3 linked regions of the Canis lupus familiaris genome follow. The protein of the gene in region 3 interacts with the protein of the main gene of each other region in a pairwise test. Links are inferred from orthologs where the notes say so. Each region holds a gene or a part of one and is shown on either strand. Other genes may lie near its edges.

Evidence for each region.
Region 1: the proteins of G-patch domain and KOW motifs-containing protein-like (region 3) and SH3GL1 interact in binary tests that used the Homo sapiens proteins (3 or more experiments, as listed by UniProt). The two-hybrid records come from large-scale screens. The link is inferred for Canis lupus familiaris from reciprocal best matches to the Homo sapiens genes GPKOW and SH3GL1.
Region 2: the proteins of G-patch domain and KOW motifs-containing protein-like (region 3) and TCEA2 interact in binary tests that used the Homo sapiens proteins (3 or more experiments, as listed by UniProt). The two-hybrid records come from large-scale screens. The link is inferred for Canis lupus familiaris from reciprocal best matches to the Homo sapiens genes GPKOW and TCEA2.

Annotation. Positions count from the first base shown.
Region 1 is NC_049241.1:55,677,341-55,681,767, forward strand, and holds the start of SH3GL1 (endophilin-A2), read left to right. Parts: upstream 1-1,539; 5' UTR 1,540-1,697; coding exon 1,698-1,742; intron 1,743-4,427. UniProt on the Homo sapiens protein: Implicated in endocytosis. May recruit other proteins to membranes with high curvature.
Region 2 is NC_049245.1:48,357,685-48,360,017, forward strand, and holds the end of TCEA2 (transcription elongation factor A protein 2), read left to right. Parts: coding exon 1-11; intron 12-406; coding exon 407-561; intron 562-631; coding exon 632-778; intron 779-1,271; coding exon 1,272-1,343; intron 1,344-1,462; coding exon 1,463-1,471; 3' UTR 1,472-1,702; downstream 1,703-2,333. UniProt on the Homo sapiens protein: Necessary for efficient RNA polymerase II transcription elongation past template-encoded arresting sites.
Region 3 is NC_049260.1:42,469,176-42,473,402, forward strand, and holds the start of G-patch domain and KOW motifs-containing protein-like, read right to left. Parts: upstream 2,828-4,227; 5' UTR 2,714-2,827; intron 1-2,713. UniProt on the Homo sapiens protein: RNA-binding protein involved in pre-mRNA splicing. As a component of the minor spliceosome, involved in the splicing of U12-type introns in pre-mRNAs.

The sequences.
Region 1 (4,427 bases), on a different chromosome or scaffold from region 3:
TTTCAGCACTGAAGTTGCAAGCACGTTAGCTCTAGCCACTTTCTTGTTCCTCTTTTCAGATTAATTTATCCATTCCAACTTATTATTAACTTCCAGTTAATTCAAACATTTTTTAAAAATTTTTATTTATTTATGATAGTCACAGAGAGAGAGAGAGAGAGGCAGAGACATAGGCAGAGGGAGAAGCAGGCTCCATGCACCGGGAGCCCGACGTGGGATTCGATCCTGGGTCTCCAGAATCGCGCCCCGGGCCAAAGGCAGGCGCCAAACCGCTGCGCCACCCAGGGATCCCATTTTTTTTTTAAACATTTTTTTAAATTTTTATTTATTTATGATAGTCACAGAGAGAGAGAGAGAGAGAGGCAGAGACATAGGCAGAGGGAGAAGCAGGCTCCATGCACCAGGAGCCCGATGTGGGATTCGATCCTGGGTCTCCAGAATCGAACTTCCAGTTAATTCAATAACAATTGATATAAAAAACAAAAATCAATTAACATGTGTAAAACTGAGAGAATTTCCTGAAAGAGGTGACATTCCCAACAGATTTCTCTTTTATGCACAAAGGATGGGGGGCGGGGGGGGGGAGATTGGGGGAAAATGTGCCAGAAAAGAACAACCTTAGCAAAGGCCCACAGGAAACAGGGATCATGGGTTATAGAAGAGGAAGAGAGCTGAAGTCAGAAGAGTTGATGGAGCCAAAATCTGTAAGCTTTGTAGGCCATGCTACGAAGTTGAGAGTGTATTGTGAAGATAGTAGACTAATGTGGTATACATTTTGTTATAGAGCATCCTTTTTTTTTTTTTTTTTTTTTTTTTAAGAATGTACTCATTTATTCATGAGAAACACACAGAGAGAGGCAGAGACTCAGACAGAGGGAGAAGCAGGGTTCTCACGGGGAGCCCGACATGGGACTTGATCCCTGCACCCGGGATCACGCCCTGAGCCGAATGCAGATGCCCAACCGCTGAGCCGCTCAGGCGTCCCTCTGAGTATTTTTAAGGGGGATAATTGGAGGGGGAACCTGCAGGTGGGCATACCAGCGAGGAGACTGGGTGCGATAGTCTGGCCTGGGCAGGGAGGCCAGGGGGATAGAAAAGCAATAAAGGGACACCCTGATGTCGTACTAGGGCAACTAAATGGATGAGCACGTGGCAGGGCTGAAGGCGGTGCGTGTGGAAGGGACTAAATGCACAGAGAATTGGGTCGGCTGAGATTAGCGAACGACGTCTGATTTACAGACCCAGCCTCCCAACCTCTCCAGGATTTAAGCGCCTTTCCTAAAACGCTAGGACTACCTCCGGGCCGCCAGGAGGCGCTGTAGCCTCCAGGGTCTCTCTAGGCTCGTTCCCGTCGGCTCGCTGTCGGAGGCGGCCTCAACGGGGGGGGAGGGGAGAGGGCAAGACGTGCGCGTGCGCTCTCCGGCCGGCAGGGGGCGCGCGTGCGCGGTCGGGGCCGGGGGCGCGCGCAGGCCGGCACCGGAAGTGTGCGGTTGCCATGTAATATCCTGGCCGCGCGGGCGCGCGAGGGGCCTGAGGCGGCGCCGGGGCGGGCGCGGAGCTGGCGAGAGCGCGGTGGAGGCAGCGCCGACGGGGCCCGCTGAGGCGCGCGGGGTATCGGCGGCGCCCGGGAGCCTGTCGCTTGCGCGGTCCCTCCGGTTCGCTGGGTCCGGGCGGGAGCCCCTACGGCGGGAGGCAGCATGTCGGTGGCGGGGCTGAAGAAGCAGTTCTACAAGGCGAGCCAGGTGAGCGGCGGCCGAGGCGGGGGAGCTGGCGCCGCGCCCCCAGGCTGTGCGGAGTCGGGGACCCGGCCAGGCCCGACGGGGCTCGTGAGGGGGCCGCCGGCTCCGGAGGCGCGGCGTTGGCGCGCGGCGTCCGCTGAGGGGGTCTCCCACCCGCGAGGGACGGGGGCTGCCGACGAGGCGGCTCACGGGCCCGCCCGCCATGTGGGCTCGGGTCTCCCCGGGAGGGTGGGCAGACCCCGGGGAGGGGCGGCGGCGCCCCGGGACGCGGACCCGGGACGCGGACCCGGACGCCGTCGCCTTCCCTCGCGGAGACGGGCCCGGAGCGGGCGAGGAAGACACTGCCCTGAGGCTGTCGACACAGGACTCCTGCCAGAGAGCCCGGGGGCAGGGAAACTTGGCGTCCGCAGTCGTTCTCCAAAACAAACAAACGAAAACCCCTTTTGATGGACCCGCTACAAAGTTGGGAAAGGGTGGAGGGGAAAGCCCCGCTTCCGCCTCCAGTCCCCCGGGGCATCCAGCCCCTCTCCCCAGGGGCAAGGACCGGCATCTTTTCCGAAGATCGGTTACACCTTTCCTAGAAAAACGCACACGCACACGCACACGGTGGTACCGTGGCCTGTGTAGCCCTTTGTACTTCGGCTTTTTCGGTTTTCCGTTCCATGTGTTCGGAGATAATGCTAGAGCTGGAATTCTCCGCCTCAGACCGCGCTGTCCTGGGCACTGTGGGGGCGATGAGGGGCATCCCTGGCCCCACCCGCTTGATGCCAGGAGCACCCCCCCCCCCCAATCCTGACACCACACATACCTCCCCCTGCTACCAAACGTCCCCTTCTGCCCCCACCCCAGAGCCACTGCCCTGGAGCATACCCCTAGAGTCTCTTTGATCTTCTTTTCTTTTTTAAGATTTTATTTATTTATTCATGAGAGACACACACAGAGAGAGAGAGAGACACAGGCAGAGGGAGAAGCAGGCTCCATGCGGGGAGCCCGATGTGGGACTTGATCCCAGGACTCGCAATCACACCCTGAGCTGAAGGCTCGCCAAACCGCTGATCCCCCCATCCCCTCTCTTTGATCTTCTTAATGGGTGTTGATATTCCAGTCATCTTTGGGGGATTGGTTAAATTTTGACCAGTCATCTGTTGATGTATGTGTGGATCGTTTCCTGTCAGTTTGTGCTACACACAATGAATAGCCAGTGAATATCTTTGCTCAGAGGTGGGATTGGGTTTATAGGATAAATTCCCAGAAGGAGAATGCTGAATCCGAGAGTATGTATGTTTTTAGACGTGACAAGTAAGTATAGGGTGGTTTTTTGTTGTTTTTTGTTTTGTTTTTTTGGAATGTCCCGGCCCCATTGCTCAAGAATCTGGTGAAAGCTGTGGATCCACTCTCCAGAAAGCTGGAGCAAGTGGGAGATTCAGTTTATAGTTTCAGATCCACGAAGCCCCAGATTTCTTGAATCCTCTTGATCCCCGCATCCCAGATTAAGAACCGTAGGTGGGCACTTTGTGTGGATAGAATCCGTGAAGGAATGAGCGACCATCTTAGGGATTGTGTGGGCCCTGCTGGCAAACTGGGCTTTTCCCACAATTTGGAAAAGTTCAGTAGGAGAGAAGAGAAATAAGTCGACAGTAACTCAGCTGGAACCTTTTGCCCCTTGATGGAAAAAGTCATGACCCCACGCTAGTGTTTATCTAGGGCAAACCCCAGATGATGGCTAACCCCTAGAGGAAGAAACACTTAATCCGGGGGGGTTCTGGCATTATTGCTGAGAGTACAGCCCTTTGTCCCAGCAGGGTAGAATTAAGTGACCTGGCCCTGGGTTGGACCCTGCCCAACAGGCATCAGACCACCAGGGCTTGACCAGAGCAACTGGGGATGGTGCTTGCTGTCTTGGACCTTGATGTAGTCCCTCCTGCAGGAGAAGCCCCCTCCTCCCAACCCCTAGCTCTCAAGGCCCATGCTGGAGGGCCATACTGTCCCAAGCAGGCACACTCTGCTAGAGGAACTGGCTAGGCTGCTCAGACTGGCCACCAGAGCTTTTTCTTGAGGGGGCAGTGGTAGGGGGTGCCCTGCATTCAAATCTGTGAGGGAATGGAAAACACTGTGTAGTATAAGCTGCTGGTTCTGATCAATTTGTGATCTCGCCATTCTGAGGCCCATCTCAAAGAATTGCTGCGATGGCCACATCCTACTCTGGGAGCGGCTGTTTTGGACTCTTGATAAATCCTCTGCTGAGTTGTGCTCTCAAGAATCATGCTGGCTGTGCTCCACTCTCTTCTGCAATAGTTTCCACAGGCCCCCAGCATCTCTGTTGTTTATCCAAACGTGTCCATCTCTTTGTGTGATTCTTTTCTTATCCTCAGTACACCCATTTTCATCCTTTTGTCCTCAGAGTAGGGTTGGCTGTTGAAAAGTATAAGGCAGTAGTTAACGTCTGTTGAACTCTCACCTTGTGGACAGGCAGTATGCTTTTAGCCACTGGTCTCATTTATCTGCCATAAGGATAAACATACTATTCTTTTTACACAAAATGATGTGGGGACATTTAGTATATGTGCTGCCGAAGCGAGCACAATGTGGGGACATTTATATCTTCCTATAGGATAGTGGTTGTCAACCAAGGCCAGTTCTATTCTCTAGGAGACATTGGCAATATCTAGAGAGATTTTAGGTTGTCAC
Region 2 (2,333 bases), on a different chromosome or scaffold from region 3:
GATTGAGGAATATATCCTTTATGCAGGGTGTGGGGTCTGGGGGTTTCTGGGGGAGTCTGAGGCCAGCCAGGCCCGGCTTCCCCTGATGGCCACAACCCCAGTGCCCTTGCCAGGCAGTGGGTCAGTTGGGTGGGCTCCCCCCTTGACCAGGAGGGCCCTCTCTGGACTGATGCTGCCCGTCGGGGGGGCCTGGGTCACCAGGGCTCTGAGCCTGGGGCTGGGCCTCGGCCAGGGTTGGGTCGGGTGGGGCCCTCCCTCTGCAGCCCCTCCACTCGCTGCCAGGTGTGGGGGGCACACTGAGCTGCCAGGCTCCCACCAGGAGGCCCTCGCTGGCCTCCTGCGCTGGCCCCGGGGTGAGTGGAAGGCAGCAGTATTGGCCTCCGGATAGGTCCTTAAACACCTGCACGCATCTTCCGGGACGTGGGGAACACGGACATGAAGTACAAAAACCGTGTGCGGAGCCGCATCTCCAACCTCAAGGACGCTAAGAACCCTGACCTGCGGCGGAACGTGCTGTGTGGGGTCATAACCCCCCAGCAGATCGCGGTGATGACGTCGGAGGTGAGTCCTGCTGCAGGGGCGTGGGGGCCACCGCTGTGGGCAGCGGGTAAGGACACTGCTCCTCGCCCAGGAGATGGCCAGCGATGAGCTGAAGGAGATCCGGAAGGCGATGACCAAGGAAGCCATCCGAGAGCACCAGATGGCCCGCACGGGGGGCACCCAGACAGACCTGTTCACCTGCGGGAGGTGCAGGAGGAAGAACTGTACCTACACACAGGTGGGCGCCCCAGCGACCTCACGCACCCGGAGCCTGCACCTGCGCGCGGTGCTGTGGGGCGGGGTCCACACCTGCACCTGCACACGTGCCTAGTGAGTGGTGCCCGGGCTCCTCCTCCCTTGCCCCGCAGCCCTGGGCCCCAGGAAGCAGTGTCTCAGGTGGTGCTTTGCTTTGGGAGCTATAAGGGGGGGGCCGGCCTCACCCAGCATGGAGGGCCCAAGCAGGAGGGTGGGGGCAGTGTGCTGCCTGCAGTGGCCTCAAGACTGTGCTCAGACCCGTGGATGTGGACACGGATGTGGACCTCGAGATGTGCCAGGGGTCCCCGGTGAGGAGAGGAGGTGTGGGGTCCCCCGGGGGGTCGAGGGGCTACAATGCCAGCGTTGCCCGAGGATACGGATGGTCTCCTCACACTGTGACTCTCGGGAAGACCTGCTCCAAGTGACTGAGCCCCTGGGGCCCGGGTGGCCCCCCCTCACCGCAGCCCTCCCCGCAGGTGCAGACCCGAAGCTCTGATGAGCCCATGACCACCTTCGTTGTCTGCAACGAGTGTGGAAATCGCTGGAAGGTAGGTGGGCGTCTCCAGCCTGTGGGGTCTTCGTGATGTGAAACGGGGGGCAGCCCTGCCTCCGGGCCCGCGGGGGTCCCAGGGGTCTTGGGTTGACGCCTCTCATCCGTCTGCTGCAGTTCTGCTGAGCCCTGCTCGAGATGTGTGCGAAGCTTCGGGCTGTGGCCAGCACATTGCCGCGGCCTTCCCCGCGTCCTGTCGACAGACACAGCTTCTCGAGACCCGCCCTGAGCCCACCCGAGCACCCCACGGGGCTGTGCCCCCGGCACCCCCGCCTGGCGTATACCTCTTTTCTTTTCCCCAAATTATTAAATGTTTCTTTTTGCCATCGTGCTGTCCTGGCCCTTGGCTCTGGTGGACCAGCAGTCCTGGGCTGTGAGCTGGGTCCCCCAAGCCCCACGTCCGGCCCTGCCCCCTTCCCTGGGACCACTCTCCTCCTGGGGATCAGGTGACACTTGGGCTTGGCCCTGATGGAACAGAGATGGAGGGAAGAGCCCACTGGCCCTGAGAGGGGCCCTGGGATTCCAGAACCCCGGGGGCAGCCTGGCCGCACGCAGGGGCACGCACAGACACGGGGTCGGGGAGGTGGCCTTCAGCACACGGGACCCCAGGGCTCACGACCTCCCCAGGCCCTGTAGCTCAGGGGTCCCCCAGCCATCCATGGCGACCTGTCCCCACCCTGACTCTGTGCCTGACGGTGGACTGGGTGGGGTGGGCCCCGCACCCGCTGCAGCTTTGAGTTGCTTCACCTCCCAGAAATTCAGGTAATGGGTGGCAAGCACGAGCCTCGAGGAGGCCAGGAGGACGCCCCCATGCGTCCTCACGGGGGCCAAGCCCCTTCTGGGGCTGCTCCTGGATCTGGGACGGTTGTTCTTTCTTGAGTCTCCCCCCAAATGTGGAAAGAAAGGAGAGACGTTTGCTTTAAAAATATCTTCAATAATAAGATCCTATTTTGGATGAAGAAGGAATGGAGATAAATATGAAAACATC
Region 3 (4,227 bases):
CTATTTAGGCTGACATTCCTGGGAGTCAGAGGTGGGATCCAAAGGAGATGACCTCCAAAGAATGATGATTCAGGGAATCAAGGGAGGTACCCGCATGGAGCCTCTTGCACTCATCACTTTCACAAGTCGCGGTCTATTTCCAGTTTGATGAGTCTCTTCTAGGATTCTGAACTCCTTCCCTTTGATTGAGTTTTCCAACTTTATTCAGGATCTGTATAAAGACAATCTTTTTTTGTTGAGTACTTGTTTCCCTTAGTACTAGTATGTTTGGTGAGTATTCCTTTGTTTTATTATTGGAAGCACATCAGAATTTTGGTATAATTCCTTTGGAATTATTAGGAGTGTTAAAAAGAAAGCCACAGGCTCTAGGTGGAGTCACTTGCCCTCAGGGCAATAAACCAAGAATTAATTGTAATTTCAACCTTTTCAGGAATGGAATTTTAAACCAATTAATCTGGAATTTTCTGGCCTGCACCAAAGAGGTAATCTTCACCTGGGGCCCTCTCATTCCCCAAAGGAAGATCAGGTAATCTGGATGATAAGAACTCCCTTGCCCCACCTTTCCATAAGCAGAAGCGACCTTGCCTGAAATAGTACTTCCTTTTCTTTTGCTAATGATTTCTTGCCCTATCTTCCTTCCTATAAAAACCTTCCACTTTAGGGTGCCCGGGTTGCTCAGTCGCTTAAGTGTTAGACTCTCAATTTGGCTCAGGTCATGATCTCAGGGTCCTCCATGCTCAGCGAGCAGTCTGCTTCTTTCCTTTTCTGCCAACCCCTCCCTCTGTCCTGTGCACTCTCCCTAAAATGAAAAAATCTTTCAAAAAAAAAGACCTTCTATTTTGTTTACCTCATCTCAGACCTCTCTACTTCTTAGATGGGATGCTCACCAGTTCATGAGTTGCTTAATAAAACCAATTAGGGACACCTGGGTGGCTCAGTGTCCGCCTTTGGCTCAGATCAGATCCTGGGGTCCTGGGATCCAGTCCCAGTTCGGGCTCCCCGCAGGGAGCCTGCTTCTCCCTCTATGTCTCTGCGTCTCTCATGAATAAATAAAACCTTTTAAAATAAATAAGAAATCTTCACATTTACTCAGTTGATTTTTCCCTCCTTAGTGGGTATTAGAATTTTAAAAAAGTTTTGGCAAGGTTACAGGATAGAAGATCGATATGCAAAAATCCATTGTGTTTCTATAGACAAAATAAAGATGAAATTAAGAAAATAATTCCATTTACAGTAGCCTCAAAATAAGATACCCAGGAATATATTTAAAAGAAGAACTGTAGAAATTGTGTTGCGAAAACTACAAAATATTGTTGAAAAAAATTTTTAAAGACCTAAGTAGGGACTCCTGGGTGGCGCAGTGTTTGAGCATCTGCCTTTGGCTTAGGTCAGGTCATGATCCCAGGGTCCTGGGACCAAGTCCCCACATTGGCTCTCCACGGGGAGCCTGCTTCTCTCTCTGCCTGTGTCTCTGCCTCTCTGTGTCTTTCATGAGTGAATAAATAAAATCTTAAAAAAGACATAAGTAAATGAAGAGACATACAATATTGACTCAGGGCCAGTGTGAGATTCTCAACCTGGCCCTGTTGATTACACTCCTCCAGCTCCCATCCTCCTCTGCCACCCTTTCCCCCAATCTGTGCCCCCAAAATTCACTAAGGAAGTCTCCAGCGCCATTCAAGCTCACCAGAAGTATCCACAGGTTTTTCACATTTTTCTGTATTTGTCACACTAGGAAGTCTGTGAGAGGCAAAGAGAGACAAGAGGGTCTTGGGACAAGCGACTAAGACATAATTGTCCTTACAATTACAGCATGCTAAAGGCTAGTTAGTGTAAGGAAGAGGCTAAGAAAGCTGTCGGTGACTTACCTTTTTTTAAAAAAAATATTTTATTAATCCATTTGAGAGAGAATAAGCAGGAGGAAGAGAAGCACAGTACCTGCTGAGCAGGGAGCCCTGCAGGGGAGCTGGATCCCAAGAAAGAGATAATGACCTGAGGTGAAGGCAGACGCCCAACATCTAAGTCACCCAGGCGCCTCCACTGTTTTAAAAAATTTTATTTGAGAGATAACAGAGACCAAAAACGGGGAGAGAGGGAGAAGGCTCCCCGCAGAGCAGGGAGGCCCACGCGGGTCTTGATCTCAGGACCCTAGGATCATGCATGAGCTGAGTTAACGGACTAAGCCAGTCAGGGGCCCCTGACTTTGCTAACATTGGCACAAGCCCCTAAATTTACATTCTAGCCTCAGCTCTTCCAACTCACGTCCAGACTCGACCACAATTTCAGTACCTAGGCAGTGCGCAATTCTCCAGCTGTCACACAACTACCCAGAACCCGCCATCTTAACGAATCCTGGGCCCGGCTATTGAAGGCACCTCCAGACACTCCTACAGTCCTCTAATAACACGAAGATCCCGCTCCTCATCTTACACCCTTAGGTCGTCCCCGGACGACGGCGCAAGGCCAGATTGGGCTCCTGAATTTCCCAGGCTCCGCCCTCTAGTTAGCCTATAAACTTCAACCCATTCCTGACGCTTCGAATCCCGCCCCCTCGCGTTTATAGACTCCACCCCCCTCTAGGGTGGACTCCTTTCCAGGCACGGCCCTCAGCCGACTGCCCGCCCCCAACACCCTGCAGGCCCCACCTCTTCAGAAATGCCATTCGAAGCCCCACTGACAGGGATAACCATCCAGCCTCGCACCCACGACTAACCATGCAACATTCGCCTACCGCAATAACCTTCCCTGGGTCACCTCCGGGAGAAATATTCTAGGATGACGCCAAGGCTCCGCCCCCGCGAAGCTGCCTCCGAGTCCCGCCCCGCCGCCAGCCCCGCCCACTGGCACCGCCCAGGGGAGTAACTAACCAACCCGGGCCTGCCACTTCAGGAGCTGGCTCCACTCAGACCCCGCCCCCCGGAGGCCCCGCCCCGCCCCTGACACGCACCCGCCTTCGGGCGCAGGCGCAATGTGGCACCTGTCCTGCGTACCAGCGCCGCCACGTCGGCCGCAGCCCGGGCCGCCAGGGGGCGCGCGTCCAGCCGCGCCAGGAGCTGCCGGGCTCTGGGGCCCGCGGGCAGGGGAGGGCCGTGGCCTGCGCGGGTGGAAAGAACAAGTCAGTGCCCGCCCGAGCCTCGGCGAACCCCCTACGCTCCACGACGTCCGAAGACCTAGAATGCCCCTAAGATCTTCCGAGCCCCCCGACCATTCCCTCATAGTTCCGGAGGTCGCCCGCTGCCGGTCTCGACTCCCGCGACCCCCGACCGTCATGGGAATGCCCGTAGATCCCCGCCTGCCCCCACGAAATCCCGGGACATAGCTAGCTGATCGAAATATTCCTGGACACTTCCCGACACTCTGGGACTGTCTCTGCAGGGCTCCGACCGCCCCCACATAACCCCAGATTCCAAACTCTTCCCGCACGGTAGCCAGAGGGACCCCGATTCCGCCAGATGTCCTGAAAGAAGACGGCCTGCCCCCGCTGTGGCCCCGGCACCCCCCGATTCCCCTTCCGGATATCCTAGGCGACCTTGATGGCCCACGTAGCTCCAGTTGCCCCTCCATTTATCCCCAGAGCCCCCCCCCCGCCTGACCCCTCCCTCCGCAGTTCGCTACACACCCTGAGTGCCCCGGTGTCCCCAGCGGCCCCGGGCAGACCCCTCTGGCACATCTCCCCGGGATTCCTGAGAGCCAGCCCCCGCGTCTGGGGCACAGCCCCACGGTGCGGGTGCGGGTGCGGGTGCGGGTGCGGGTGCAGGTCCAGGACCCGGAGCCCAACCCGGGTCACCGCTTGGGCGCCAGGGCTGCTTTGTTTACCACCTGTCGCAAGGAAAAGGTGAGGAGCCGACAGGCGGGGCGAGGGGTGGCCACCCAGAATGGACGTCAGGACACAGAGTGTTCCACAGCCCATAGTGAACAGTCACAGGCCAAGTGAAGGTTGGGGGTAAGCTGCCCGAGGCCCGGGCTGCTGTTGGGTTGGCTGTGGGGCCCTGGACAGGTAGGCATCTGAACCCCGAGGCCCTCCAGTTTCTGCCTCCACAAAGTGGTGGTCGGGGGCTCTCTCTCACTGCACCCCATTTTTCCTTCCACTACAGTGAGGAGCACTTGCCCAAGGGCTCCTCTCTCGGGGACCTCTGCCTTTGGGACACCCCCAGTTTTAATACCTAAGCGGGATCTGATTTCTCCCCTCTCATTGGCTGGCGTCCCCTCCCACCCCGGGGCCCTTCC